3 linked regions of the Danio rerio genome follow. The protein of the gene in region 1 interacts with the protein of each later gene in a pairwise test. Links are inferred from orthologs where the notes say so. Each region holds a gene or a part of one and is shown on either strand. Other genes may lie near its edges.

Region 1 (10,766 bases):
CATGATAGAAAAGAGGACATTAAAATATGCAGTCTCTTAAAGTGTCAGTGGCTTTAATTCAACAACAATGTTCATCAGGTTACTACACTGCGCAGGAGAGTGGAGGAGCTCAGCAAATTGTAAGTTTCATGGATGCCAAAGCGCCCTCTGTTGTGCATGGCCTGAATGTGTTGGATTCAGTGTAGGGGTCTCATCATGTATAAATGGGGTGTATGCACGTTTTCACCTCCATTTTGTGATCTATAAATCATCATTTGATTTGTAAATAAATGTAAATTTATTCTAGCATATCAGTATCATACAATGAATACCTTCTCTAGATATCAATTTGCATATTAAGCATAAAAAACACACAAGACTATTACTTATTTAAGTCAAACAAATAATAATAATAATAATTTAAAACCTAGTGTGATTTTTATGACTATATATATATATATATAAATATATGCTGCTGTGTTTGTAGCAGCCATCAGATATTATGACAGTAATTCAAGCCTGTTTGAATAACCTACGGTGCTCAGCATATATAAGCACACGCCTCACAAATCTATTTTTTAAATCCATATTTTTGCTATACAATATTATATTTGCGCATAGGCTATACATTAGATTAGTCAGTAGTGAAGCCAAATCTAAAGCTTATCTAACAAAATAACTTACCATAACGGTCCAAAAACTAGTACACCCAATTTTTATGTTATAGAAAAATATTAAATACAAACTTTAAAGGAGGAAAAATCAAGAGAAGCAATAAATAAATAAATAAAAAATTAGTTGAAATTTTGTAGGTTGTAATTTTTTTTTGCAATATTTAGCGTGAATTTAATTGTGTTATTTTTCAATTTCTAAATTAGTTTGGTGACTAAAATATTTTTGTAATCGATTTATCTGTTTAATACATCTGTTTTGTTTAAACGCACCAAAATAGCCTACATCGCCTATATTCACTGAGAAACGATTAAAATATTCATTTTCAAAATGGGGTGTATTCAATATGCTAAGCACGGTATGTGCATGCCATGGTGTGAAGTAGGTAGAAATGAAGTTAGTTCACTTTTTTATTTTTAACTCTTGCACTGCAGCAGCAAGAAGGGCGCCGCCGCTCGTCGCAGAAAGTAAGTGCATCGCCCCGCAGGCCAAAACCACCAGAGTGATGAAGGATACCTCTGTGCTGACTACACAACCCGACATTGATCAACCCACTCTTTCTCATCTTCAACCAGTTCCTTTATATGCCATGTAAATAAAGTGTGAAAGCCTTACGATCATTAACCATGGTTTTATTATTGTAAAAAACGACGGGCTGATTAGCCTACCATTTGTATAATCAGAGGTTTGCTAAACAATAGTGTGACATCATGTTTTATTTATGGTTACCATACTTTAACTACAATAACTTTTTTTTAACCATAGTTAGTTTTCATTAGGGACTTTTCTTCATAACTCAAAGTCAATAAACCTTTTTTTTGTTTTTAGATGTTGTCTTTCCCCTTTTCTTTCTAATTCCAACACCAATGCACCATATTCCATGCACTGTATGTTAATATGTGTTGATGCTGCATCGAGAATAGGTTTAGAAAATCTCGACGACAGGGGCGCCCCCAAGGGGTGGCCAGGGGTGGCCACGGCCACCCCTCGGTAAACTCTGGCCACCCCTGTGGCCACCCCAATATAATTTTGCTGTTGACATTAAATGTACTTATAAATCCCAAATGTTTAAATAAATAAAATGCAGCCACTAAATTATTGTTGGTGTTACAGACGTAGCTGATTCATTGTCTCTCACCCTTAGTGCTGGTTTAATGGTGAATGCTGGTGAAAGCAAACTGACGCATGCGCGCAGAAAACAATTCCCGCGCGCCTTACGCACTCCTGTGTGAATCCCGGTTGGTTGTTTGCATGCACGCCGACAAAATACGCGCCGCTCATGCGCCGTGAAACGAAGTAACAGCCTTTTGTTCAGAGGTGAAAGTCGACTAAAGTTTATATAATATGATGATGATGATGATGATGTTACTTTCACTAAGCATGCCTTTAAAGCAGAAAGGAGGGATAATGAGTCAGGGAGGTAAGACTTCATAACATGAGTTCTCAGCCATGATCTGGTCTAAGACCACAGATAATTCTATAATACATTTTTTGTTTTCTTTAGAATTGTCATAATTAATTTTCATGCAAAAGTTTTCTTAAGTGATCTTGGCATATCACCCCAGTTGTTGTTTTCCAGTAATATTTAGGACTGATTTCTGTTATTTATTCAGAATAATAATTGTATATAAATAATAATAAAATAAATATAAATAAATTGTTATATTTATTGAATAACAAATCTAACAATTCAAGGGAGGTGTGGTGTATAGGGTGGTTCGCCCAGGGTGTCATTTAAACTAGAACCGCCACTACCCTCTCCGATCGTCGTTGACAGTACGCACATTCAATAGACAGCAATGGCTATTTAATATTTACCTTAAGGTCCAGTATATCAATAGAAGAAGCTGCATTAATAAAATGGCTCAAAAAGTAATATGGATAAAATGATATTATTAGGTATAGTGAGTGTGTATATAGTAATCCCTTTTGTTCAGTTTGTTCATTTGTTTGGGTTATTAATAAACTCATTATTCTTTCATTCATTTTCTTTTCGGCTTAGTCCCTTTATTAATCCAGGGTCGCCACAGTGGAATAAACCGCCAACTTATCCAGCACATTTTTACACAGTGGATGCCCTTCCAGCTGCAACCCATCACTGGGAAAAATAAACTCATTAATCTTCATTAATTGTAGACATGGCATATACCGTATGATATACAATAAAAGCATGTAAAGTTATTTATACAGTATATATATCGAGAAGATTCTCTCTCTCTCTCTCTCTCTCTCTCTCTCTCTCTCTTAATTGTGTAAAATTGTGTTGCTGCATCAACTTGCGTCTTCTTTTGAATATATTTTTTAAATATTTAATAGTCTGATCATTGAGGGTATAGGCTAAGTTGTGTGGGTTAGAACAGCAAAATAAACAAATTAATAATAATAATTAATAAATAAAAAACAGGCAAATATAGTTAGGCTACTTTGTTTTCCCAAGTCAGTGACAGTGTTATAATGCGTAAAGCTCACTACACAAGATGGTGCTATTGGCTTAATATCGTAAGTCTTGCAATGTATTAAAATGTATTATTTGTCCAAGTGGCATGGAAGGGTTTTCATAAAATAATCGATAAATGAACAATTTTCATTAAAATCATAATTCATTTTTGTCTAAAATCCTACGCGACATTTTATAAGTATAGACTAATGAAGGTAGCATTATGAACCTGAAGGTTTTTGCATGCAATACAATACAATTCTATTAATTGCACATAATGGATTTCTCAAAAGAACTTTAAGATTCTACATTAAAAATAGTAGTAAACCTTTCAAAAGTCTGAATTGAATGAACAGACTTGTAAAGGCAATCCATGGGTGTTAAAACTTTTTCCATCTAAATTTAAAAAGGGCACTTTCTAAAAAGAAAGATTTTTACACCATCCTATTATTATTATCATTATTATTATTATCATCATCATCAAAATCTGTATATGCATCCGTAAAGAACCTTTAGATCTAAATCTGTGAGAACTTTCAATAAAAAAAAGTTTCTTTATAATGAAAGTGGTAATATTTATATTTTGCAAATGTTCATAAACCTCATAGAATTGTTTTTAAAATGGCTCTGCTATTTTATCACAGCGAAAACATACGTTTGGTACTTTAGTTAGTGCAATATAAAGGTCTGTATATTTGAATTAAACATATTCATGCTGCTTGACGCGTAATCATTTTATGAAAATGGTTAAGCATCGAAATGTAAAAAAGAGAGACCAAGCATTTCATTTTCTTTGAAAATGCCTATTCCCTTCAGTTCAACATAAATAAAAATCTATTACACCTTTTTGTGTTGTAATAAAAGGCTAGTTGATTAAATTATTTTGATTCAGATGCAATAATAATCAAACAAATACTGAGGAGCATTAAATTGTTCTTGCAACTCGAATGGTTTCAGAACAACATGTAAACGATTATAATCTTATTTTTCAATTGCGTACTTTTTTTTTATTGTGATATCACTTTTAGCTACAACCTCGTGAAATAAGGTATAAATAAATCTAAATTGTACAGGCCTGTTTATTGTGTAACGCTAAACCGATTTGATTTCAACAAATTGATATATCACGTGTACAGTAGGCTAAATGTTTATACATCCAATAAATCACAACAAATCACATAGATATTCCAGTATAAATAGTTGTTTTTATTTATCCGTCATTCACTCGTTTAAGAAGTATAAATATAAAGTTTAACACAAGACACAACAAACTAGTGTTTCAAACAGGCATCATTAAATACAATAATATGTTTGTTCGTTTTCGTCGCTTTAACAAAACAGATCTTATTTACACATATACAAAAATGGTCCTACTATTCGTATCTGGATTACGATTTTTTCCGTAAATAATTAGGAAAATAAAAGGTGATGGTGACAGAAAATATATTCACAAAGGGAAAAAAATATGGTCACATTTTCACGTGGATATAACAATATAAATAAGCTTAGTTAAGAAACTCACTTCTGCTGATCTGCTGAGTCTTTTCTCATATTGGAATTACATTTTCCACCGCATAAAGAAAGAAAGAAAGAAAGAAAGAAAGAAAGAAAGAAAGAAAGAAAGAAAGAAAGAAAGAAAAAAAGAAAGAAAGAAAGAAAGAAAGAAAGAAAGAAAGAAAGAAAAAAAGAATTAGTCTATGAAAGAAAGAAAGAAAGAAAGAAAGAAAGAAAGAAAGAAAGAAAGAAAGAAAGAAAGAAAGAAAGAAAGAAAGAAAGAAAGAAAGCATTCTTTCCTAGTTTCCAGCAGTGGATCAAAAGTCTTTCTTTTGTCGTTAAAGGTCGGATTCGCCTTTTTCTGCTGAAAGTTTCTTCATTCAGATTGTCTTTTTCAATTTGTTTTGAAATGTTGCAGAATTTTAAAGCACTTGATAAATGGTTTCCTGAGCCTGCTGTTGAGGGCAGCTGGTCGGGGACGGTGCGGTGGTTCCGGTGTCACTCAGGACAGATCCCTCATGCGGAGAACACGGGCTCTCTTCGTGCCCCTCCGGTACTGACAGCACGGGACATGCAGGAGTCTCTGTGGAAATTCGCTCCACGATGCTGGACAGACAATCCAAACTCGACACCACTGAGTTTTTATTATTCCGTGCGTCAGCTAGAAAAAACAAACAAACAGAAAGATTTTTATTTTTTTAACTCAAATAAAATTAGTCTATGAGAATTTAGAAACATAATAGTTTACTTTTAAACTCAATCCAAAAGAATAGTTTAACTTTGCATAACAGTTAAACATTTTTTCAGCCAACTTATTTTATTTTATTTTTCGAGCAAACTTACCATTTGGTGTGTCATTGAAGTAAGAGCTGTCATAGCTGTTCCGTCTTCTCGTCTGACACGTTGGGCCCATAAAATCCATCTGGGAAACGAAAAGACACTTTAATCTATATTTATATTGAAAAGAAAATTAAATCAGCAAACACAAGAGATAAAATATTTACAAGCGATCTTTAATTATTCCCATCTTTCTCTTAAATGTTGAAAAATAATGTTGCTGAATTATCCTAAATTACAAAATCAGTGCAAAAAAACAAGTCCAAGTTTATTTGTCCAAGTAAACACTAAACGACTTATGGCTTAGCGACATCACAATTATACTGTAGCTATAGTATGTAAAAGCCTCAGTATATAAAATAAGTTTCTCACCATGCCATCAGAGCAGTTGGATCTCGGACTGGAAGCATCAGAGTCTCCACTGTAATGTTCCAGAACGGGATAGTAGTTATCCTCTTGACTTCTGAGAAGAGCCTGCAGAGACTCGATATAACTAATGGCGTTTCTCAGAATCTCCACTTTGGGCAGCCTCTGGTTCGGGTTGGTGGACGTGCATCTCTTGAGGGTCTCGAAAGCGTCGTTGACCTTGCTCAGTCGCCTCCTCTCCCTCATGGTGGCGGCTTTGCGACGGTCAGCATTGGTAGTTTTTCTCTTGCAAGCTTTGCATGCCCACAGTAGGCACCTGCCGGCCTGATGATGCCCACTGGGCGCCCTCACGTGCTCGTCCTCGATGTGGTGATGCTCGTCGGGTTTGAGCAGGCTCACGTGAACAAGCCTGGGGTCCAAGTCTTCAAAGAAGTGCATGTCGTTGGTGTTGAAGCAAGGGTCGTCGTAGAAGTCATCAGCTGATGGGATGGGGAAGGGGATATCCGACAACTCCATCTTTTTTGTGTTAAAGTTTAAAAAGCAAGAAATGTACTTGAATGTTTCCAAAGTAGTAAATTTGTAAAAAAAATAAAAACCAAAATTAGGAATAGTAAGACAAAGTCCTTCAGATCCCGAAATAACGTACGTTTCAAAACTACAGTCTAAAATTCGCAGGACCTCGGAGGGTTTCTTTGCATGTACCCCTCAGGTACTTGTTGCTGGTAAGAGATCAGGGCCTGATAATAAACACACCAGCTTGTCGGGGGAGGTCCTACAGATGACAGACTGACCAATGAACATGTGCGATAACAAGGGGGCGTGATTTTGACAGCATGATGCTAATGATTGTGTTATAAAAATGTAAGAATGATAAATTCCCTTAGAAATAATAGAAGTTTTATTTGCTTGTATACCAAATTAACATTTAGGCCTACTTGTTTATTTTCCATCAAATTTCAACTTTACAAATAAATTCAAGCATGAGCTTTGCTTTTAACTTTGCTTGTTAATGGAAAAAACAACCAATTGGTTTCTAATTTCTAATTAATACATTTTCTAATTGTATAATTTACTAGTGCTGAATTTGATAAGTCTAATATATTTGTAACAGAAATAATACGAGAATGCAAACATTTAAAATGTTGTTTTAATTATTATTAGTTTTGTTTTTATTGTTTTATGGATGTTTTTCCCTCATAGCGCGGCATTGAAAATGTCAAACAAATGTGAGCAATAATTAGCTACTTTTAAATACACACGCACATTCACACGTTTAAAAATTCAGAATAACATTATGCATGCTTTTCAGTTCATGGTGTTCAAAATGTACAGATAAAGATTGCTTGATCAATTTAGGTATGAAATATTTTAATGAAACACTGAAGGAAAACTACATTAAGCCAACATTAAACGTATATAATTTAGTAAAGAAATCGCAATTACATTTCAATTTTATTTTCCAACAATCTCAGAAAAAACATGAGCTGTCACAGTACATTTTCAAAAGGTACAAATTTGCACTTGAAGGCTTTATAATGGTATCTCATGGGTGCGTTTTAAGTACATTTGCGTACTAATATGCCCCATTTGAGGTACCATTGTGGATTCTTTGGGCACAAGTATGTATCTTTTGCAAAGGTACTGCCCCAGTGACAGCTCCTGTACCTTTATTTCTGAGAGTGAATGGACACTTTATGATTAATGTATTTGGTTATTTACCACGATCAGTCTATCAGGTAAAGAAAATGTATTTAAGAATTTATTCTTAATGCGGCCAACTTTATTTAGCCTTCTTTACACTGGCTGCTTGACAGTCTCAATAACAGTCCAACAAAAGGGGGCGTTAAAGAGCCAGATGAAATTACTATTTTGTTCAAAAGCCCCAAATACGTCTTTAGCCAGAATCCATGCTGCTGAAGTTGGATCAGCAAAATGTTTTATATAATAAAAAATACATTTAAATATGTATTGAATAACAACTACAGCAAAGTAATAATTGAAAAACCGACACAATTATATAAAAAATAAAATTCCCTGTTTCATTTTATAGTGTTAAAAAAAACAGGGTTAATAGAAAATACAAAATGGCATGTAAACATGTTTATTAAAACCGGTGCAGAATAAAATCAGTCACACAATACAGTTAATACACCCTATCTCGAAAATGAATATTTTTATCAATTTCACAGTAAATACTGGCAATGTATTTTGGTGCATTTAAACAAAACAAAATGTATTAAACAGATTTATTTATTAAAATAGCATTTTAGTCACCAAATATATTTAGAAATTAAAATAAAATACAATTAAATTCAAGCAAATTATTGCAAAAAAGGTACAACCAACTCATTATTTATTTATTAATTTTTTTTTTTTATTTTAGCTTCACCTGATTTTTCCTCTTTTCTAAATTTGTATTTAATATTTTTCTAGGTCACAATTTGTTTTGATTGTCTGTTTGTTGAATATATGTTACATTGCATCTACATGTCAACTGATTCTCAATAGATTAGCAGTAGACTGTTAGGTTTAGGGTTAGTATAAGTTGACATGTACTTGCAACGTTTCTTATAGTCAGTTAAATGTCTGTTGAAGAAGCAGTATCAACATATTAAGCAGTCAACTAATCCTTAAATGGACCATCAAAATAAAGTGTTATCTTTTTCTATAACATAAATTTGAGTGTACTAGTTTTTGGACCATTATCATAAGTTATTTTGTTAAATAAAGTCTAGATTTGGCTTCAGCACTGACTAATCTAATGTATATGCACAAATATAATATTATATTAATATTAAAATATAGCTTCTTATTAAAAATATGAATTTAAAAGATAGATTTGTGAGGGGTGTACTTATATATGCTGAGCACTGTATGTAAATATAACAATTAAATTTAAACTTTAATTTGACTTTCGATTACGAAAGGCACAGTAACTTTATTAGCATTAAAAAGTGCCATTTAAATAGTATTTACATTTGGAGGGACTTGTTACATAGGTCAAAACAAGATGTGCCATTTTGGTGCGCACATGAAATGATTATTTATATATTTTATTTATACAGCTTTAGTACAAATTAAAGTGTTTACTTTAAAGGGACATGTTCCAAAGTTGTCTGACTGTTTGCTTTTGAACACAAATGAAGATATTTTGAAGAAACATTGAAACTTGTAACAACTGACTTCAACAGTATTTGTACAACAAAATAGCGTGTTCATTAAAGAAAGAAACCCATAAATGTTTGGAACCACTTAAGGGGGAGCAATTAGTGAGTCAATTAAAATTAATTAACTATCCCTTTAATTAATGCAAAACTTTAGCAAAAATGCATCTTGTGAGAATTGGGTAAAGCATACTGATATGAAGGATAGAGGCAAAAATAGATCAAATTTGCAAATTAATCATTAATTGGGGTCAGTGCTATGACACATTATAAAATAAAGGAGTCATTTAAATGTCATGAAATTAGTTCAGTTGTAAATATACATGAAAATACGATATGGTACAGTTGAAATCAGAATTATTGCCCCCCCCCTTTGATTTTATTTTTTCCAAATGATGTTTAACAGATCAAGGGAATTGTTACAGTATGTCTGATAATATTATTTCTTCTAGAAAAAGCCTTATTTGTTTTATTTCGGATATAAAAAGTTAAGTTTTTAAAACAATTTTAAGGTCTCAATTGTCAGCCCCTTTAAGCTATATATTTTTTCAATAGTCTACAGAATAAACCATCGTTAAACAATAACTTGCCTAGTTAACCTAATTAAGCCTTTAAATGTCACTTTAAGCTGTATAAAAGAGTCTTGAAAAATGTCTAGTCAAATATTATGTACTGTCATCACGGCAAAAATAAAATAAATCAGCTATTAAAGATGAGTTATTAAAACTATTATGTTTAGAAATGTGTGGAAAATTTCTTCTCTCCGTTAAACAGAAATTGAGGAAAAAATTATTCTAATAATTCAGGAGGGCTAATAATTCTGACTTCAACTTTATATGAACTACTGTTACATATCAGTCAGTGTCTTCTGTAAATATACGGGAAAATATAGTAGACACTTTTAAATACTTTTCAAGTAATAATAAATTGGTTCTCAAGCTGTTCATTGGATATATACTGTAATGCTTTCTAAATGAACACAAGTCTAAGCAATCGTCAGGTTCTCTTGTAGCTGGTCGATGAGGAACTCGCCAAAGCCAGCAGCGCTGTCATCGGTGCAGCCCACTCTGCGAGCGTTGGTCAAGAGGTCGCCTACGAGCTTGACCTTTTGGACGAGGGGTTCAATGAACTGACTTTTGATTACACTGGCAGTGTGTGGATCGTCGTGCTCATGAGCCAGATGATTAATCTCCAGCATGACACTCATCTCCTCCTTCCACTGGTTAAGCATGATCTCCAGAGCAGGGAGGACAGCACACACCTGTTCAGTGCCGGGCCTCTGTGCACAAACACACAATTCATCAACCTAATGTTATCAGTTCAAAAAAAAAAAACAGCTGCTTGGTAAAAATGTACAATAAACAAACACAATAAATGCAAGTGTTACATAATGTGCAGTTGAAGTCAGAATTGTTAGCCCTCCTGAATTATTAGCCCTCCCTGTATATGTTTTCCCCCAATTTCTGTTTAACAAAGATTTTCTCAACAAATTTCTAAATATAATAGTTTTAATAACTCATTTCTAATAACTGATTTCTTTAATCTTTGCCATGATGATGGTACCTAATATTTTAGATACTAGTATTGATATTTAGTGCATTTTAAAGACTTAACTAGGTTAATTAGGTTAACTTCTGCAGTTTTGTTCTGTAGACAATCGAAACAAAATATTGCTTGAGAGGGCTAATAATATTGACCTTAAAATGGGTTTTTAAAAAATTAAAAACTGCTTTTGTTCCAGCCAAATAAAACATATAACATTTTCTCTAGATGAAAAATATTATCGGAAATCCTGTTAAAATATCTTTGCTCCATTA
Region 2 (9,700 bases), on another chromosome or scaffold:
TGGTCAAGTGAATTGTCATGTTCAAGAAACCAGTCTGAGATGATTCACGTTTTTACATGGCGTGTTATCCTGCTGGAAGTAGCTATCTGAAGCAATGTCTTGAAGTAGTTCATTATGATGTAATTCACCTTTTATGTGTAATTTGACTGGGCAGGAATTACAGGACTGATTTGTCTAATTCCCATAAACAAGAAAAAATAAAGTAGTTACTGCAGGTTGAAGGAAAGTAGTGAGAGTAAAAGTACAGATACTGCACTAAAAGTGTACTCAAGGAAAAGTAAAAGTACACATTTTTAAAACTACTTAGTAAATTACAATTTCTGAGAAAAACTACTCAATTACAGTATTTGAGTATCTGTAATTAGTTACTTTACACCACTGCTTGATTGTAACGAATGGTTAATTGAGTTACTGTTACCTTTCTATCAGCTCGAACCAGTCCGCCAGTCTCTGACATCTGGTATAAACAAGGCATTTGTGCCCACAGAACTGCCGCTCACTGGATCTTTTCTTTTTTCGGCCCATTCTCTGTCAACCCTAGAGATGGTTGTGCGTGAAAATCCCAGAGTCTGAAAATCCTCAGTTTCTGATATACTGGCACCAACAACCATGCCACGCTCAAAGTCATTTAAATCACATTTTTTAAAATTGTAATTGACTAATTAGAAATTTTCGTTAATGAGCAATTGGACATTATATTGTACCTAATAAAGTGGCCGGTGAGTGTACTACGAATTGACAAAGGTACAGCAAGTCTAAATCATGTGAAATATGACGACAATAATAAACATCTATCATAGCCATTTTTCTCACTATGAGGAAGATGCCTGGCTTATCATACAAAATTATGCTGAAAAAGTACAAATGAAGGATGTTTTTAGTATTTTCAAGTTTATTAAATGAATAAAAGATGGTTTTAAATAGTGTTGATAATCCCCATATATTATCCTCATGTGTCTGTGTCACTGCTCTGCATTAAATTTATAACAGACCAGTGGTTTGTGTGTGTAGTTAAGTCACAAAAGCTTCTTTTTAAATACTCTTCAGTTTAGGTCCATGAAATTTCCTCATGCACGTGTATGTGCTAAACCATATCTGTCCCCAGATATGAGCAAAGTCTGACAAAATGTCCCAAAACCTCATTTGAGGATATCCTTGACCTGGTTTATGGAGCTGATAACATAGAAAATAACAAAAGAAATTAGAAAGATAAAAACAAATGAATTCTGTTAAATCTTGTGTTTGGAGTTTGTGAGGGCCAGATTGATGTCTTCAGACTTGACATTCGGGGGGCTATTTTAAAAGTCATTTTCAGGCTACAGAAACAAATAGGCTCTGTTTGAGAGTATTGTAGGTAGATATGTTTTATTATAAAGTTACTGTAGGCTTTTTTCTTTAAGATTGGCTATTATAATTATACTTTTACGGCAAATAGTAAAAAAATGCAGTAACTGTATAAACACTCCCTCTCAATCAGTTAGTCAATATTAGATTAATCTTAGTTAGTTCTCATTTTCCATAAAAGCTACACAAGAATGGAATGTTTTACCAACTACTGTTGAAGATATAGAAATTAAGTATTTAAGGTTACATTAAAATTATGGTTATTCACTCGGTTGTGTCAACATTAAAACCCTGTACACTCAAAAAAAAAAAAAAAACTGCTTGTTCAGAGTAATTATTTATAATGAGCTGTTTCAACACAAATATTGAGATTTTTTTATAATAGCTTAATTGTTTTTACGCTCAATCAACTTGAATTAGTAAAAAAAAATTATTTAGCTTACTCGATTTGTGTTGGGACAGGATGAAGGAATTGTGTGAAAACCAGCGTTTTATTTTAACGTTACATTGTATTTGACCTTTAGGTCTCTTGGTCACTTTGTATTTATTTTTTTATTTTAAATGAATTGTGTGTTTTATTTTTTATGTATTTTAATTACATTTTCTTTAGGATGACTTTTAACATATTGTCCAGGAACTAACCTACAGATGAAAAATAGCATTTGGCTAATTCTGGTACGTTTAGAAATGTTTCATTAATGTACAATGTCCCTGTTAACTAAACAGATAAAATAATATAAATATACTATTGATAAACTATATACAATAGAGCTATTTTGTGGTTACCATTTGGTTGTATTTGAAGTAAATCCATGATTCAAAAACAATCAAAAATTGGCCTAATTACCGTGTCCTCGCGCTAGGACCGTAAATGTCTAAATCTGTTTAAAATATAAACAACTCAAGTGTTGTTTTTATGAAGTTTATGGTACAAAAACGTATATTAAGAAATATATTAACGTAAAATCTCGTCAAAAAACAAGTCTGAAAAACTTTGTCTGAAAAAACAAGCTTCGCCGTGTGACCACAGAAGGGCGCTAGACGCTAAACTGTCCGGCCTCAACTAACAAAACTAGTTTCCTCTTTGACAAAAAGTGACTCCATTTATCCACCTCATCATTAATAAATCGTAAGTATCATCCAATAAAAACAACCCGCATAAGAATTTTCTAAAAATTGGGGTTTCTTACAGAATATCCATCATATTTCGGTCAAAACCGTCTCGTAGTTGGTGTAGGCTAACACACAGTACACAAATACACAAGCTAGGCTAAACGCCACTTAGTTAACATGAAATTGCTTTAATTTAGGGTGGGAACACTCTTTATAACCACAATTCATTTCAAGTATCTCGCAATGGCCTGGAAACAGCATGTCCCCATTGTCTTTTGTTTTGCCGTTGAGTTTGAGTTGATGTTAGTGGGAAAGTTGGCTGCAGTGTGTGGCGCTATGTTTAAATGCGCTAAGTTCTTATTAAAAGAAGCTCTCGTTGTAGTATGTGGGAAACTATACAGAGGGAGTGAGAGTTCCTTGGCCGTGTTCCCGGCCCATCTGCAGCCCGGGCTTGCGGATTACTGTTTGTTAATGTTTCAATCAGCTGTGTGCCGAGGAATGTGGAGCGATTTAACCTGAACTTCCCCAGGTGTGCGGCGGCGCCGTTCAGTCTGCGCCCTCCCCTGCCCTTGGCACAAAGCGATCACACAAACACAATCACACACACTGGCCGAGCCGCACATCGCGAGGCCTGCAGCTGCGCGCATCACACCGCAGGGAAATGAGAAAAACATTGCACCAGGGAGACGGAATAAATCTTATAACGAACTGCCTTTTTCTCGGAAAACACTTAACCCTTCCGCTACCCGCCATTGAAATACAGAGATGCACAAAATAAGCCTAGAATAAGACTTTTAAAACTGTTAACGAGTGTCACTGTAGTTAAAAATAACTTCTGATGAGTCTCTAACAAATTAAAGCCTAATTATTTAATTAGTTTTCCCTCTTTTTGATGATATTAGTTAGGCTATCTGTCATATAGGCCTAGCTGCAGACTTTTCCATGTGAATTTTCTTTTAAATTATAGTAATGTCAAGGTAAACTCGTTTTAATTTTACAAAAATATATTAAGATTAAACAGTTGTAGATAAACTAACTTGCCGTTTTTGATAGTTTTAATTAGTATATATGTTGTGAATTGTAATAGTTTAAATAGGTATGTTTATTTGTTTCAGCAATGATTTTAGCAAGATTAAATGATATATTGAAGTTTAATCATTCTCATTAAACTCATATTTTTGAATTCAGACTCCCTGTGAAATGTGATGAATGTTTCATATAGCCTATTGGATATTCATTATTTTACCCTAATTATTGAGTTGTATTGGTTTAAATTAACCGTGTTTAGACCGATCTTGTAATGTTAAACAATATTTTGGGCTTGGAAAGTTAATTAACACTGTTACCTTTTTTCTAATGTAACATCTTTAAAATTTAAAGTTAAAACTTCTCCTTTTATATCAGGTTTATTCAATTATATCATGAACAATTTTTATTTGTGTAGTTAGTGACTTAAAACTGCTAATTTGGTTCTGCAGTGAAAAGCTGTACTGATAGGCTAAGTTTAGTTTCAGTGTAATCACCAATGACAAAAGTGTAAAGTGAGAACTCATAAAACTGATCTGTAACGATAGACGTCAGGCTAAATACAGGCCACCCTAAATTAACAATTATGTAGTGACATGATTACAACATGTTACAGTTAAACGTTTATTAAGCCTACAACTACTAGATAATAAAGCATAAAAGACTCCCAATAACAGAATTCTCAATCGGCTCCATTCACTCACAAAATTGATCAACAACTCCAAGATAAGTTTGATTTTCATGTTTTAATAAAAAAAACACAATATACATTGTAAAAAACACAATAAAGCGTTCACATCATATGGCATTGTAATATACAATACATTCTTTCGCTCAGTAATCTGAGAAATCTGACAACAAAATAGTATTTTTTTCTAAAAAGTTACAAAAACATTGGAGAAACTTTGACCGAGAGGGAAATGCATGAACAGTAAGTGAATAATCGCCATGGATTCCACAGCTAAACACAGACACAAACACACACGCGTATCGGTGTGTGTCCGGGGAGAGATCTCAGAGAAGGAGAGAGCACGTCACGCTTGTCATGTCCACAGATTTGTGTGACTCTCTACTGAAAGTTTGTTTCCTCTACAACAGGAGAATGAGACTCTCCCGACACAGTTCACGGCGTCACTGGTCCATCGGGGTTTGTTTGTTCGTTCACCTCAGCGCACCGTGATCACGATGCTTCGATGATCTGTTGACGTGAAGCCACCGGGAGTATCTGCTTTAACGGCACATGATCCGGTCATCTGAACAGCCGTTCTGCAAGACAAAAAGAGGGAACATAGTGAGTTGGGTCGTTCAGACAAACATTATTGATATGCATATAGAGACGCAAGCATTATATCTTAAGCATGTGCGATATTTACCTCCACAGAGATGCTGGCTAGCTCCGCGTTGAGTGTTGTGAGCGGAGTGCGGGGAGCGGAGCTCTGGTTCTTCTTGCTCTCCAGCTCGACCTGCAAGTCCCAGATGTAATCGATGACATGCTGGAGAATCTCCATCTTGCTGGCTTTCTTGTTGGTCGGTAGCGTGGGCACCAGCTCCTTCAGTTTGCTGTAGCAGCTGTTCATGTCTTGGAGAAACATGGTCATCTGCTCGTCCAGCAGCGGGATCTTGCATTTGGAGATGGCCAAGCTCTGATCGGAGAGGCAGCGGACAACATCCTCTCCTCCAACTTTGCTGCTCTTCAGCGCGCAGGTAGGTCCCACAACTTTCATTTTGGCTATTTGCGAGTAAGTCAAAGAGGAATAGCTGAAGCGAGGTGCTCGTACTCCTTTTAAAGGCTTGTTGAGTTGTCGATAGTGCGATGACAGTTCACCACATGCTCTCAGAGGCTGAGCTGTTCGTTATTTAAAGGGTCTCCGGGCTTGGGGGCGTCACCAAACACTCGTGTTTGCGGGAACGGGCCAATAGGATTTTTGCGGAGTCCCTCGCTCAGCCAATGAAGGCACGGCTCTGTTATCGCAGTTTCAATATGCTCGGGGGGATGGTGTTACAAATGGAAACAAATGTGTGTCTTCTGCGGATGATGTGTGGAGATCCAGCTGTCCGTTTACTCCACAGGTGAAGCAGACAGATCAAGGGGAGGGTGGGGGTGCTCGACGATCAACAGGCAACAGTTATTACTTTCAAATGAAACAAGCTTTTCTTCGTATGTGGGCTGCTGCGAGAAACAAAGCATACTGTAAAATGTTCCATCAGCATCTCTGTTTCCATCCATTCAGCTTGTTGCAAATATATCTGTCATTGCTGAGTTAACTGCACCCTGAACACATGTGAGTGGACATGATGGCACCATGACCTAACATTTATAAAAATGTTATGATTTATTGGGGAGGTGGATGCGGGGTATTCATAAGTTGAGGGAACATCATTTTAAACAAACTATAAACAATACATCACAACCCCCTTTAAACACTGAATCTAAAAGAATTCTGTCTGTTTATTATTTTCATCACATGAGTGTAGCTAATTCAAATGTAGATTTCAAACATAAACAATCAAACGTTATACTTCATTCCCTATTAAACAAACCAGAAAACAACATCATAAAAGGTTTCTTAGAGATCTTAACTCATGACTGTCTAAATAAATTCACTCTGTGAATTATTTTATTGTGTCCATAATGCAAATATCAAGTAAGCAAAACAGAGAAAGAGGACACTTTATACTTATATTATGTATACTGTAATGCATGTTGAATATAATGTTTTCATCTCATAAACCCAAACAAAAGTTTTAAAGTATCTAATGCAATCCTGTGGTTATTATTTTCTTGTCACATGATAACAAAATGGCTTCATGCATGTTTGTCATACAGATTTTGATTTGCCTGACAAGCTTTCAAAATAATGCATTAAAAATAAAATATTTGACTAGAAATGAGTATTTTATCAAAGTATGTGTGCAGATAGTTTAAAAAACTACAGATTGTTAAAAAGGAGCAGTGGTCAAACTTTATTTGTAATGCTTATTTAATCTTTAACATCCATAAAATCTTACCATTGCACATAAGTTTTTTTTAGAGGAAGGTAAGTGTTTAGAGTGTAATGTTTTTTACAAAAAGTTCTTCTGACATCACTGCAAAAGAGGGATCTGTTTCTGTACACAATGCAATACATTTTAGTGTGCTTTTAACTGTTGTGCATGCACATAAAGTATTCATAGTCTATTATCCTACAGTAAGTGCATTACTTGTAGACTGGAGCTTTATTCTATTGTGCTGGGAAGCTCATTTTTATTCAAATCTGTTTATTTTCCTTCAATGATGGTCTCTTTGTCTTTCTTTAAATGCGTTTCCTCGCGCAAACTTCCAAATTCCTTCATATGTGCGCGTCGCCTTGAGCGCGCACTCGCATAACTTTGCATTGCTGTGCTCTGATTCTTCCCCCAGATTGTCCAAACAAACCGAAGCAGACTGCCGGGCGCCAGCGCCGTGACGTCACCCATTCATTCGAGCCTTGACGCCTGTCAGCCTGGCGCCGAGCGGGCGGTCCCTATAGCAACAACAAACAACAGGCTGGCATCCCTCCACTCTCCCCCATTCACCTGCGCGCTGCGGAATCCTGAGAACAAACTGGTCAGCGCTCATTTATCACTTAAAACCTCTGATGCGATTACCGCTCCGCGCACCTGCAAACTGCCATTGTCGTCCCGAAAGACTCTTGTAAAGACACAAAAAGTGAGAGACAAAGTGAAAAAGGGCTATTGAGCCGGAGGGGCTTTTTTTTAGATTCCAGCAATGCTTTTATTTTATTGTATAAAAATAAGGCGAATGCTAATTATTTTTAAATGCTAAACTTTATTTAAAAATACACTAAGTATTAATTAAATATAATAATTGGTAAATTAACGTTATTTTTTTATACAAATCTGTTGCATATAATGTTTTAAATAAAAATAAACATTATAACATGCATAATTAAATAGGTCAAAATGAAAAAGAAGCAATTTTGTGACAAGAAAATGATAAAACACTGATAACTCGCAATGTGCAACGACAATTATTATTATTTTTTTAACACTTAAAATAAAATCTAAATGCGCGTGCATGGATTTGTGCACGTTGTTTTGAGCGAGTGCATAGCTCTGCATCCTGCAGGCAGGAGCGCGAGGGACTGGAGCGTTTCTGGCTCGGTCACAGCTGAGCGGGGTTGAGGGGAGGCGGAGGAGGAGCTGAACAATGGGAGTGCAGTATCGGGACTGTGAGAGAGAATCTCGGCTGGAGCCGACGAGTCTGGAGCGCCCCTCCACTCGCTCATCCCGCTTTTGTTCAGCTGCGCAAGCTATCAGCACTTCCTACCGACTCCAACAATAAGCCCTCACAGCTGGGCTCTCCAAAGCCTGTTTACTGCACATCAAGGCAAAGAGAGGCAAAGAGTGTAACATCCCCCTTACACACACTCACACACCCTTATGAACTCTGGTAAAATATAAAACATATTCCTAGAAGCAGAGAAAGGACGTTCAAAGGAAAAAGTTACAAATTATATATGCTTTATTGCTCAATTACCTCATATGCTGGCCACTGGACAACAACCACTCCTTACTTATTTGTTCAGTAAAACATATGTGATGTGCATCAAGTGAGCCTATGGTTTTTGTACAGGACCATTCAATAATTTATTTTGCATATACTGTAAGACCAATTATAGAAAGTTATTCAGCTCTGCCAATGGTTTAAGACCAGGATAGAATAATTAATTAAATTATTCATTCATAATTTGTGCCTATAGTTGCAGTAGACAATACTGCATATTTACATATTTAAAATGAACTTTTAGATACCCGTATAACAAGGAAACTTTTTATTTTTATTATATTTATCATTGCAGTATACAAATAATATATTGAAATAACGTGAATTTAGATGTAATAGAACATAATTTTATTCAATATACTCAACTAGAACACAGAAATCATTCATTTATTCTTTCATTTGTTTGTTTATATTTGTAAATGCAGCTTAACTGATGAACTAAATTACAGAAACCATATAGTTCTTGTCCCGATTACACTCTGACCTGACTAGTTGTTTCTCACAATATGTCAGAGAGCAGGAAAAAGCTGGTGCGGCTGGTGTGAATACTCGTCTTTTTCTTGTAGCATCTGCATGCATCTTTGACTTTTCCCTCTCATGGGAAGAGTGGCCTCAGATAATTGTCCTCGAGGGAATCGCATCCTGTCAGAAGTCATGTGATCGCTGTCTGACAAGGCTGCAGTGTTCTGTGCTGTGTCATCAGCTGGCTGTGAAGTCTTTAATTCACAACATCACAGCGACACAAAGCTGCAGACACAGAAGGGAAGTGTTCAATGCAAAGTGCAATAAGACAATGCAGTTCACTAGGAACAGACCTAATTAGCTTCTGTGAGTCATACTATGACATAAAATCAACCTGAATAGCTTTTCACGACACGTTTGACTTCCGTAACATGACATATTTCTGATACTGAGTAATGAGGAAAAAATGTAGTGTGGGAATTGAATGCATCCAGTGGGAATTGATTGGATGTTGGCCATAAAATATTAGAATGAGGCTATGAATAAATGCAAGTTTGCTTATGGATGTTGTTTTGATAATCAGCAAGGCCTGGTGCCAATTGAAATACAAAGTTGTTACATTTGTAGTTATTATTTTAAGGTATACATTTGAGTTTCCGGGTTCCCTCGCTTCTTGACAGTACACTTTAAAAATTTAATGACAAAAAGTCAAGGCAACAAATCTTTTTATGCTGCTTTATTCATTCATTCATTCATTTTCTTTTTAGCTTAGTCCCTTTATTAATCTGGGGTCGTCACTGAGGAATAAACCGCCAACTTATCCAGCATAAGCTTTACGCAGCAGATGCCCTTCCAGCTGCAACCCAACACTGGGAAACACCCATACACTCTTACATTCACACACATAAACTACGGCCAATTAATTTATTCAATTCACCTGTACCACATGTCTTTGGACTGAAGGGGGAAACTGGAGCACCTGGAGGAAACCCACATGAACACGGGGAGAACATGCAAACTTCACACAGAAACACCAACTGACTCAGCCGAGGCTTGAACCAGCGACCTTTTTGCTGCGAGTTTGTGCTACTCACTTGTGCTACCCACTGCGCCACTGTGCTGCCCTATGTTGCTTTAAATAATAAGTTAATCAGGTTTCAACTTTTAAGGTATACAAAGTTTTACTTCATTTTTATTAGTCAGTTTGAT
Region 3 (10,910 bases), on another chromosome or scaffold:
ATTTACTCGCTTCCCTATGTATTTCAAGATCTGACTATTTCCCTCTTTCTTCCGTTGAAAGAAAATTAAGGATTTTGAGAAAAACATTTTCCATAAACACTCAAAAAAAGCGCTCACTGTTTGTTCAAATTTCTTTAAAACAAACTGAAACAACTCAATTCTTGAGTGTTTTTGGGGACAACTTAATTGTTTTTTGTTTAATCCACTTAAATTTGTAAAAACCAATAGGTTAACTCAATATCTTCACGTTGTCCCAACACAAATTGATTTTGTGCAACCCACCATTTTTGACTTCTGGTGCTCAGGTTTGAACCTCCATATTTAGTTTTCAATACAGTTCCAAAAAGCTCTTAATGATCCAGAATGAGGAATAAGCTACTTACTCAATAACACAGTCAGAATTTAATGTTTTAACCAGAGCTAATCAAACGTTTGTGGTTAAAAAAAAAAAAGTATGACCCATCATTTCACTATAAAAGACCCTTATTCCTTCTCTGGGATCATTTATCCATTGTGAAAAGAAAAGAAAAAAAAAAAGAGTAAATGATCAGGAAATTCATATTCTGGAAGTGAACTAATCATTTCAACTCGAGGATACGCAACCTTCCTACAGTTCACCTCTAAATGATTGAGTACTTCTGAAGATCTGACACTGTGTAAACACTAGACATACCTGTTGTTTTATTGTTGCAACAGTTACAGTAAGGTAAGGCAGGTTTGCACCCTAAGAAACGATGTCCTGCAGAGTTTTAGTCCAGCCTTGATAAGATCTCACCTGCCTGTAGCTTTCTACGATGATTTTGCTGCTTGTTCAGAGTTTAAACAAAGCAATTAAAGTAAAAAAAAAAAACGTTTTATGTTAAATCTACCTACATTTCTAACAACAGTTAAGTTAACTTAATAGATTTGTCTTCAGAAAACATGAAGGAATTGTGTCGTGTGGAACTCAATGTAGTAGCCCTCAGAACTTGATTAGCCTGTTCTGGTGTGTTTGATTAGGATTAGAGCAAAACTCTGCTGCACTGCAGCTCTCAGGGACCAAACCTACGCCTGAAATAGAGGTCGTAACACGGGTCAAACCAATTATATGTCCTTTATATCCGTAAACAGAATGAGACTATGAAGATTTGTCGCTCACTTTATGCCACATCTAGTCAGGACAGAATCACTGTTAACGTTTTTTTCATTCTTAATGTCTTTCGTCTGCACTCGTGTCAAAGTTAGACACTGTTGTTCAGCTTATTCAGGTGTATTTGATCAGGGTTGAGCTGAACTTTGCAAGATCTTCAGGAACAGAACTGAACACACCTGCTTTTTTACTTCTGAAGGGTAAATAACTGGAAAGGTTTGAGATTACTATAAAACATGAAGTAAACTTGAAGCCGAGTTACTTCTCATTTTTTCTGTGTTGAATTTTGTGTGGTTAGATTCTTTACATGGATAGATTCACTGCAAAATCTCTTAATCAGTGTTTATGCTTTGTTTTGCGTAAGAAATATTGAGATATCCGTAAAAAAAGAAACTGACACGTGTTAGCTATGGAAAAGTTGAATATAATTTATATGATTTAAAGCTTTGTTGCTGCTGGAAGGGCATCTGCTGTGTAAAACATGGGGGAATAGTTGGTGGTTCATTCCGCTGTGGCAACCCCTGATAAATAAGGGACTTAAGCTGAATGAATAAATGATTTGAAACATTCAAGATAATGGAAAATTAACAAATGCTTTTGCTACATTAATTTAGGTTATTGTTTATTTTTTTCCTCTATGAACATTTTAACATTTGAAGAAATGTACATGAGCGTTATTTGGCAGTATAGCGTAATGGTGTACTTGTACATCAATAATAGCCTAGAATAATAGATTTCATTTAGTATATGGAGTAGGTTTATTGTTAAAACATACTACATCTCCTCCTTTTTCATTCTTGATTTATTTTTGTTCATGGATTTATCTTGATGTTTGGATATTTTAAACTGTAAAACAAAGTCAAAATACAGATGAAGAAGAAGCAGTTTAAAAGTGTGAGAAACGTGATTATTGTTGCTTTAGTGTTGCTTTAAAAAAGCAATATAAACAGAGGCTGTGAAGCTGTTGATAGTTTCTGACGTGTTTAGTGCAAATCCTGTTATTTCACGCTCCGTTGCTAACATTAAAGATCTAGCATAGGCCCGTCCGCAAAATTCAAACCTATCAAGTAGAGTGAGGATTTAGCCACACTTACATAGTGCTGTGATCATCGTTATTGATTGGTGATTTAATGTCCGGTTCATCTTCAGGTCATCCCTGTGTTTGTCCTCTGGAGTTTGTAGTGCTGTAGATGAGTGATCAGTGTTATAAGAGATAGAGAGGTTTCTTGAAAAGTGTGATTTGTGTATGGCCAATTGCCTCAGTGTTTGGTCTGGTTTTCTCAAATCATTAAAACTGTTTTCAGCCCTTTTGAATACGAGTTTGATTTTATGACGCATGAAATATTTCAAAATAAAATTCAGACACTTTAATCATATTTTACTTTTTTTTGTTGCATATGTTTGTACACTGTAAAAAAAAATGTAGTTGCCTTAACTTTTTAAGCTGAATGAAATGAACCCTATGAGTCTATTGAACTTATTTTATGTTAAACAGACGTAAAACTAACTTATAAAAATTAAATTTGAACATGATTAACGTAGCACATTTGACCTAAAACATATGCTGTCAGGACTAATTGATCAAAAACCTATAGTTTTAGTTGTATTTTAATAGTGTACGCTGATAAACCGGACACTAAATTATCTTAATTCAATTCACACATATGTTCCTTTATTTATATAAATACATAAACAGTTTTGTTTTTTTTTAGATTTCTCAAATGATCAGGACATATACGCTAAATACATCACAGAGCAAGGAAATTTTCACAGTATGTTTGATAATATTTTTTTCTTCTGGAGAAAGTCTTTTCAGCTAGAATAAAAGCAGTTTTTAATAATAAAAAAAAATTAGGGGAACAATATGAGGCCCTTTATGCTATTTCTTTTTCAATAGTCTACAGAACATTGTGTTGTACAATGTCTAATTACCCTAACCTGACTTGTTAACCTAATTAAGCCTTTAAATGTCACTTTAAGCTGTATATAAGTGTCTTGAAAAATAACTAGTAAATGATCATTTACTGTCATCATGGCAAAGATAAAATAAATCAGTTATTAGTTATTAAAACTATTATCTTTAGAAATCTCTCCGTTAAACAGAAATTGAGGGAAAAAAATAAACGGCCTAATAATTCTGACTTTAACTGCACATTTTCTTTAAATGAATACATGAAGTTTTTTTTTTTTTTTTTTAAAGATTAGGTCTGGCTACCAGCAGGTGGCGCACTATTCATATCAACAACACCACTAGTGGTTTAAGCTGCATGTCAGACACAACCTTTAATTTTAGATATGCACACTTTGCATCGATATATGGAATATAAATATTTTTCGCAAAGCATTATAATCTTGTTTCTATTGTTAAATAAGTTTAACAAAAATCATACAAAAAGACCCCCTTCACATGTTGCATTACTCCCTACACACAATGGAAACTACACTGTAAAAAAAATCCTGGTTGCCTTAAATCAAGCTGAACCAATAAAATAACCCTGAGTCCATTGAATTTATTTTATGTTAAACTGACTTAAAACAGCTTGCGTAATTTGTACAATTAAGTTAGAACATGATTAGCTTGGATTAATAAGTTAGAATGAGATAAAAACATGTTGTCATGACCAATTGATCATATTTTTTTTTTACAGTGTCATTTCTTATGTCTCATGTCACTAAAACTAAGATGGCACCAGCTTCACTTGCATAGTCTAGAAGGCTCTAAAAACTGATTGTAAGAAGTGATTAGTATGAAATCAATCTGCTAGCTCAGAGTTATTATTTCACACCATAATAAACCTACAGAAAATCATTTATTTTAACAACAGAATTCCACAGATTCTCAAGCTCTCATTTTAACTGCCGCTTCATGCATAGCAGATTATACGAGTGAGAGAACTTGTGGATACACTCATGATTAATGTTTGACTTAAAGAAGTTTCACCAGAGTAAGATTAAACCGCAATCGAATCTTTCAGGCTTTGAGAGTGTTGAATAGCTATACATGTATATAGTAGGATAAAGCACCTTCTGACCCATTAGAAACTGGAACAAATGCTTTTCACAAATCAATATAGCAATGTGAAAGATTCAATAGAACATTCCTTGGGCGAATGTGCAAGTTTGAAGGGTCAGTGACATGCTTCAGAGTCCTGGATATAAAAGGCAAGGTCACTATGCTGCACATATATCGACATTTAAAGTAATCAAGCGTCAAATAAAGCATTTGATTTATTTTGTATAAAAAAAAAGGTACAATTTACAATATTACTTTTATAAAAAGTCTCAGCATACAGCATAACACTTTGCAGATACCGGCAGTCCAATTTCTGCAACTATACAGGATAAAACTCAGAGAGAGAGAGTTCACAAGGTTTCATCACGTTATTTTTTTTCAAAAGTCCAGTCCTTCATGTGCCAAAAGAATTGACAGGAAAAAAACAGACTTAAATCTTTGTACAATAACTAACCACATCTTCTCATTCACACGCCGCTCTTCACGAGAAAAAAAAAAGGTAAGACTTCTTCTCAATGCAGAGAAAAGGTTCCTTGTGATCATTTACAGGTTTCCCTCCTATTTTCAGGGAATATAGTGCTTCTTCCTCTTGAAGAAAGTCTTTTTAGAAGATAAATAATCAATGTCCGAACTCATAACACATCACATGGATTGTCCTTTGAGAAGGAGGAAAAAAAGAAAGTCTCTTGATTCAATTACAGGAAAGAAAAGAAGAAAAAAAAACTCCAGACTGAGAACAGAAATCAGAGGAAAAGCCAGTTCCCAGGTCCTGTGTGTTCTTGTGTCTTAACCAAACACCTGCAAAAGATTGAGAAAGAGGCGCATTTAGAGAATGCAAACAGGGCAGAGATCCGGACAGCCTGGCGCCAGAGAGGAAGCCGCAGTTTGAACATTTAACCAAACACTCAGAGACTGAGCGAAAAAACCCTGGGCTCCAGATGTACACCAGTACACAACTTCTGCCTTCGCTTTTGCAAAGTCAACACACTTTCTGCAACTTCACACATGCACACTGCTCCTCAACTAAACCCTCTGCATCAAATACTTGTCATTTAATAGAAAAATTAAAAACACATAAAAACATTGTATTTTCAAGAAAACTTACCTGATTAACGGTAAAGTGTCCTGCTGTCCTCTGTGATCAAGTCTGATGGAAACTCAGGTGTCTAGAAAAACAAAACAGCCTTGTTATTAGAGGTCAATAAGCATGCAACACGATAGATAGATAGATAGATAGATAGATAGATAGATAGATAGATAGATAGATAGATAGATAGATAGATAGATAGATAGATAGATAGATAGATAGATAGATAGATAGATAGATAGATAGATAGATAGATAGATAGATAGATAGATAGATAGATAGATAGATAGATAGATAGATAGATAGATAGATAGATAGATAGATAGATAGATAGATAGATAGATAGATAGATAGATAGATAGATAGATAGATAGATAGATAGATAGATAGATAGATAGATAGATAGATAGATAGATAATTGAGTAGGCGGTGATTCACCTGTAGTGAGAGGATGCTGATGTCTGTGTTGAGTGTTGTCAGGGGTGTTCTGGATGTCCCCTGCCCCGCTCGCGGGTGATGCAGGCTGGTTATCGCCGAATTGGAGTCGAGCGCGATCTGCAGGTCCAGAATATAGTCGATGACATGCTGGAGGATTTCCATTTTGCTCACGTTTTTGTTCTGCGGGATGCTCGGCACCAGTTCCTTCAGTTTGGAGTAGCAGTCGTTCATGTTGTAGAGCAGGCTGAGAGGATCGTCCACGGGGGTCTTGCTCCGCGAGATTCCCAGACTGTGCTCCGTCGTCGTTACACTCGCGCTACTTTTCCGGAAGGACCTCACTGGGCTTATTGCCTTCATGTTGACAGCAGGATTTCGTTGAAAAGACTCGCCTTTTTGTGTTCGAGATTCCCTGTTCGCGCTGGGCTGTTGAAGCAAACGCAGTGGATTAGCGAGCTGTCATCGCTGTATATATACCCAGCTGGGTGGGTTTGTTCACTCGCTGGTTTGCGACGTGCTGATTGGTGGAGAAGGCCGAGTCACTCATCGCCTTCGCGTTACGCTATTGGCTGCTGGGCCGAGCGACAAAGATCCGCCCATTTCTTCCGCGTTCTTGACCAGTGAAAGCGCGTGTTTAGGGTGGCGCTGACTGCCTTCAGCTTCCACGGATAATTTCTCAAATCAGTGTACCTGTTTCCGATCAGGAGAATTAGTGAGTTGCAAGTATAAGGTTGTTTTCACGCATTTGTTTGTAGTGTAATTGTCATAACGTGCCAAAACGTTAGCTTTAGGATTATTTATATTGAATTTCCAGAACACTCAACATACAATATGCTACATACTAAGTATGTAAAACGAAAACGGATTGTTGCATTTATGTATTAGCAATATTATGCAGCGTATGATTCATACAATCTGCGGTTAACATTAAACCAACCGAACATAATGTATTCGACATGTTTCAGTTCAAATAGTCTTGTATTTCCTCGTGTAAACTCTGTGTTAAAGATTTCAACTTTTACCTTCAGGTCAGTGGCATTATTTTGGCAAAGTGCCATGATTTTAGATAAAGATGCCCAGCGGTTTTTACACCAAGTCACTTGACCTTATAGTTCCAGCGATTCTGTATTTTGTCTTTAATATATTCTATATTTATTCATTAATTTAGAACACAGAAAACATGTCAAATTAAGATGAGTGGCGTTTCTTTATTGCGTTTACGATGCAAATCAAAATGATGCACCAGCAGTTGAAGTTTGTGCTTTCTGTCGTTGATAGCGTGCCCTTAATGTTTATGTTTGTTTACACACATCATGACTGTGGGGGAACATGAGAGCAGTCTTTATGGCCTGTGATGAGGATCGTTTTGAGATGTAATAGTGATGACGAGTTCCCCCTGCTCTCTAGTGCAGGCATGCTTGCAGCATATTGATAGTCATGAAAATACTTGACTGAGAAAACAATTCTGTCCTAAAACTGCTGCTGAAGTGAAAACGCATTCTTAAGACCGTGAAGAATATGTCACCCTGCTACAGATTATATTTCCATGTTTTAGAAACCCACAGTGAGTTCAGAAAGCGATAGTGGTGACAAAAACGCTCTTTGTTTACACATGCTAAGTAACAATGGAGACGGAGAGATTTCCTGGTTGCTTGTGCATATCCGACTAAACAGATGTTTGCGGAGATGCGTCGGAATGCAGTCGTGTTGATGTATCGGAATGCACCTCATTATCACTCCTCAAAAAACGATTTTCACGACAAAGCATTTTGTACGCTTTTACATTTCTTATTCTGTTTTTTTTTAAACCTCTGCTACAACAACGAACCATTATTTCCGCGCGCGCGACACTTACAAACACGACGACGCATAAGAAATAGTATCGTGAACTCGTCCGCATCTGCCGCAACTGGCTTTTTCCATTTTCTCCCTCGCCCTTTTTGTTCTCACAGCTGTGTACATTTCGCATGACACCCTGACTGATCCCTGACAGGTGATGAATTGGCACCAAGCAAAGCAGCACTACAGAGCAGCGCCGCGAGCTCACGCTCTCGCAGACTCTCTGGCGCCAGCCCCGTGACGTCACCCATTGACAGCGGCCCTCCAGCCAGTCCTCGCGGCGCCGTCCAGGCGGCTGCTATGGAGACGGGGCCAGTTAGTTAGCGCCGGTCCTCAGCTGATCAATGGGGCCGAGCGCGGAGAGATCGGAGTTCAGCTCGTCACCTCAGCTCTCCTGCGCTCCGAGGCCCGCACACCTGCATCCATTTGCATTTCTTTGCTTACGTTTCACTTGGAGGACTCCTCGCCCTTTCGAAACAATCTAGACTTTGAAACGTAGCTAATGCAACCTCAAGTTACCTCAACTTTATCTCAATATGCGCCCGAGGTAGAACGTATTTCCAGTTAGTCATGCATTATTATGGATAAAAGGAGGAGCGTCTTCGTTTAAATGGGTCATTCGGAGAAAGCTCGTGCGAAACGACACGAATTGCGAATTGTGGTGGGTTTTGAAAGTCGAAAAAGGCTGTAGAATTTCAAAAGTACTGTGGATAAACAGTTTATAAAATCACGCCAGTATTTATTAAGAAGTTTTGTTGCATCACGTTTGCACGATGAAGCTTAAACATTAACAGCAGCCGCTCATCTGACCTAATATCGATTATAGATTGACAAGTTTACCTAATAATAGAAGCTGGTCTGTGGGATCAAGTTTAAAAAAGTTAATAGTCTATGTTATAAAGGCCTAAGTTAAAAAGTTTGGTTTCTCGAAACGAATCGACAGCGTGCGCCTTGAAAGTGACAAAAAACAAACTTGTTCAGTGTCAAAGCGGATTAATAAGCAAAAGCTCACACTTCTGATGTAGCCTACAAGCTCCAGCAGAACATGACTTTATTCATAAATCGGCTTTAGAGTTACGTTTACGTTTCTGTCTCCTGACAAAAAGCTAACAATAAAAATGGCAAGAAAACAATCTAAAGTTGGCAGAAAGTTGACAAGTTCTCCACGGGATGGAGTCGAGATGTCTGCACCGCCTCCTCTGCTGTTCCAGCTCACTGCAGCTGCACAATTCCTCCCGTCTCCGGCTCTTCAGACACCAAATCCCAAAGAATCACATCTTACCCATATATTTACGATATTGATGTCAATGTTAAAAACATCGAAGTATAACATAAATATACGGATCTACTAGCCAAGTTAAAAGATAGTTATCCAAAATAAATCTGAAGTCGTGCGTATTATGACGATGTTCTTTTCGAACGGCTTTAAATTCCAAACTGCTGAAACATGACGCAACCTTTTCTTTGATATCCGCGTTCCGAAAAGTCGAACCGAACTTCCTTTGATGACTTTATCAAACATCGACGTATAACTTAAATACACCTATATAATATGCTATCTACAGGTGAAGCAGCAACACATTTAGTTCCGCGGAAGATTCTCAAAGTCATGCGCGTTTTGACGAAATTTTGTGCGAACGACTACATTTTAAACGTTTTAAACATTAAACGCGTCGCTTTCATTAAAATCCGCGATAGGATAAACTCTCACATAAAACTTCCCGATAATACGTGGGACAAAACAAAACATTTCTGCTCGAGTCACCTAAAACGCGTATTTAAATAGGCTTTAGATGTCCGGACGCTTGTAATGGTTTCGTCGTTCGCTCGGCTGTGGTTTCAGCTCCCGGCAGTGGCTTTGAGGGCTCCCACGCGCCTGTCGCGTGCAGCAGTACACGCGTGAAAGTGTGGCTCGCGACTCTTGTAGCAACATCGACCCCATGGGCGTGGCGTTGATGTTTGGCTTAAGCTATTGTTCGCCTCCCAAAAGAGGGTCCTGAGAAATGTTGCAGTTCAAAACTCGTGTGTCTTTCTGGCTTGCGCAATGTAGTGCAGCTGTTTGGGTTTACACAACAGAGCATTAACACACTCTCCCTTTTGCTGTCAAACAATCTGTCAAATAATAGAAACAATACTGAAAGGGTAAGCCTAATTCTGTCAGTGAGAAATTTAGAAAGGCCTGTATGATGTTTTCTTTATCCGTTGCTTTATTTTAGCTAATTTTTTTTAGGTTTTAACAAACAATAAAAGCTTGAAATTCAGATATGTCATTTTTTTGTTAAAGCTATTTGGCAATGTGACAAAGACATGCTTTCACATATAATTCAGCTAACAGTTTTAATACAAATGTTAATATGTGTCATGTTTAATCAAGAAAAAGTAAAGATTATTTATTTTTAAAGTTATAATGTATGTGTTTGGTTATTTATATACAGTTGAAGTCAGAATTAATAGCCCTTCTTTGATTTTTTTTTAATATGTGCCAAATGATGTTTAACAGAGCAAGGGAATTTTCATATATGTCTGATAATATTTTTTCTTCTGGAGAAAGTCTCATTTGTTTTATTTTGGCTACAATAAAAGCAGTTTTAAATTTTTTTAAAACCATTTTAAGGTCAAAATTATTAGCCCCATTTAAGCTATATTGTTTCCTGATAGTCTTCAGAACAAATCATCATACAATAACTTGCCTAATTACCCTAACCTGCCTAGTTAACCTATTTAACCTAGTTACGCCTTTAAATGTCACTTTAAGCTGTATAGAAGTGTCTTGAAAAATATCTAGTAAAATATTATTTACTGTCATCATGACAAAGATAAAATAAATCAGTTATTAGAGATGAGTTATTAAAACTATTTTTAAATGTGTTGGAAAAAAATATCTGTTGAACAGAAGTTGGGGGAAAAATAATAATTCAGGGGTGCTAATATTTCTTAGTTCAACTGTATGGGACACATCATCAGTAAATAAAATAAAATTAAATTTAAGCAATTTAACATCTACTCAAATCCCTTCAGACAAAACGTTGTTAATGCGATTGTAATGCATTTAATTGTTAGCTTTAACGTGTGATTAGCTTAATTAAAAATAAATACAAAAAATATATAATAACAGAAATAAATGACTGAATTGTGCAAAATTGCACATTAACATCATTTACATCATGCAGTCGCAGTCCATCTTGACTGTTCAAAAATTCCCCCCACTGAATGGTCAGATGATTTATTTTATTGATAAAGCAAACCAAAGATGATGGGTAACAATATTAAGTAGCATAATGACATTTGTAGTGACAAAAGTCAAATGGTCTGAACATTTAAAGAAGCAGTAAATGTTTACTCTCAACATCTGGTAATACAGCGTATGAACAATTTACATCAACAAATTATATCCATCGTACATCCCC

The links.
Region 2: the proteins of myod1 (region 1) and id1 interact in a two-hybrid assay, tested with the Homo sapiens proteins (5 studies listed by BioGRID). The link is inferred for Danio rerio from reciprocal best matches to the Homo sapiens genes MYOD1 and ID1.
Region 3: the proteins of myod1 (region 1) and id2a interact in a two-hybrid assay, tested with the Homo sapiens proteins (2 studies listed by BioGRID). The link is inferred for Danio rerio from reciprocal best matches to the Homo sapiens genes MYOD1 and ID2.

The regions. Positions count from the first base shown.
Region 1 is NC_133200.1:33,820,829-33,831,594, forward strand, and holds myod1 (myoblast determination protein 1 homolog), read right to left. Parts: upstream 6,481-10,766; 5' UTR 6,302-6,480; coding exon 5,792-6,301; intron 5,505-5,791; coding exon 5,426-5,504; intron 5,244-5,425; coding exon 5,005-5,243; 3' UTR 4,274-5,004; downstream 1-4,273. Other genes in the region: tnnt3a (troponin T type 3a (skeletal, fast)), read left to right, coding at 79-119, 1,086-1,122; zgc:172145 (Ferritin light chain, oocyte isoform-like), read right to left, coding at 9,935-10,228. UniProt on the Homo sapiens protein: Acts as a transcriptional activator that promotes transcription of muscle-specific target genes and plays a role in muscle differentiation. Together with MYF5 and MYOG, co-occupies muscle-specific gene promoter core region during myogenesis.
Region 2 is NC_133186.1:20,793,081-20,802,780, forward strand, and holds id1 (DNA-binding protein inhibitor ID-1), read right to left. Parts: upstream 5,320-9,700; 5' UTR 5,208-5,319; coding exon 4,857-5,207; intron 4,750-4,856; coding exon 4,714-4,749; 3' UTR 4,211-4,713; downstream 1-4,210. UniProt on the Homo sapiens protein: Transcriptional regulator (lacking a basic DNA binding domain) which negatively regulates the basic helix-loop-helix (bHLH) transcription factors by forming heterodimers and inhibiting their DNA binding and transcriptional activity.
Region 3 is NC_133192.1:36,527,484-36,538,393, reverse strand, and holds id2a (DNA-binding protein inhibitor ID-2a), read right to left. Parts: upstream 6,092-10,910; 5' UTR 6,025-6,091; coding exon 5,668-6,024; intron 5,309-5,667; coding exon 5,252-5,308; 3' UTR 5,248-5,251; intron 4,941-5,247; 3' UTR 3,921-4,940; downstream 1-3,920. UniProt on the Homo sapiens protein: Transcriptional regulator (lacking a basic DNA binding domain) which negatively regulates the basic helix-loop-helix (bHLH) transcription factors by forming heterodimers and inhibiting their DNA binding and transcriptional activity.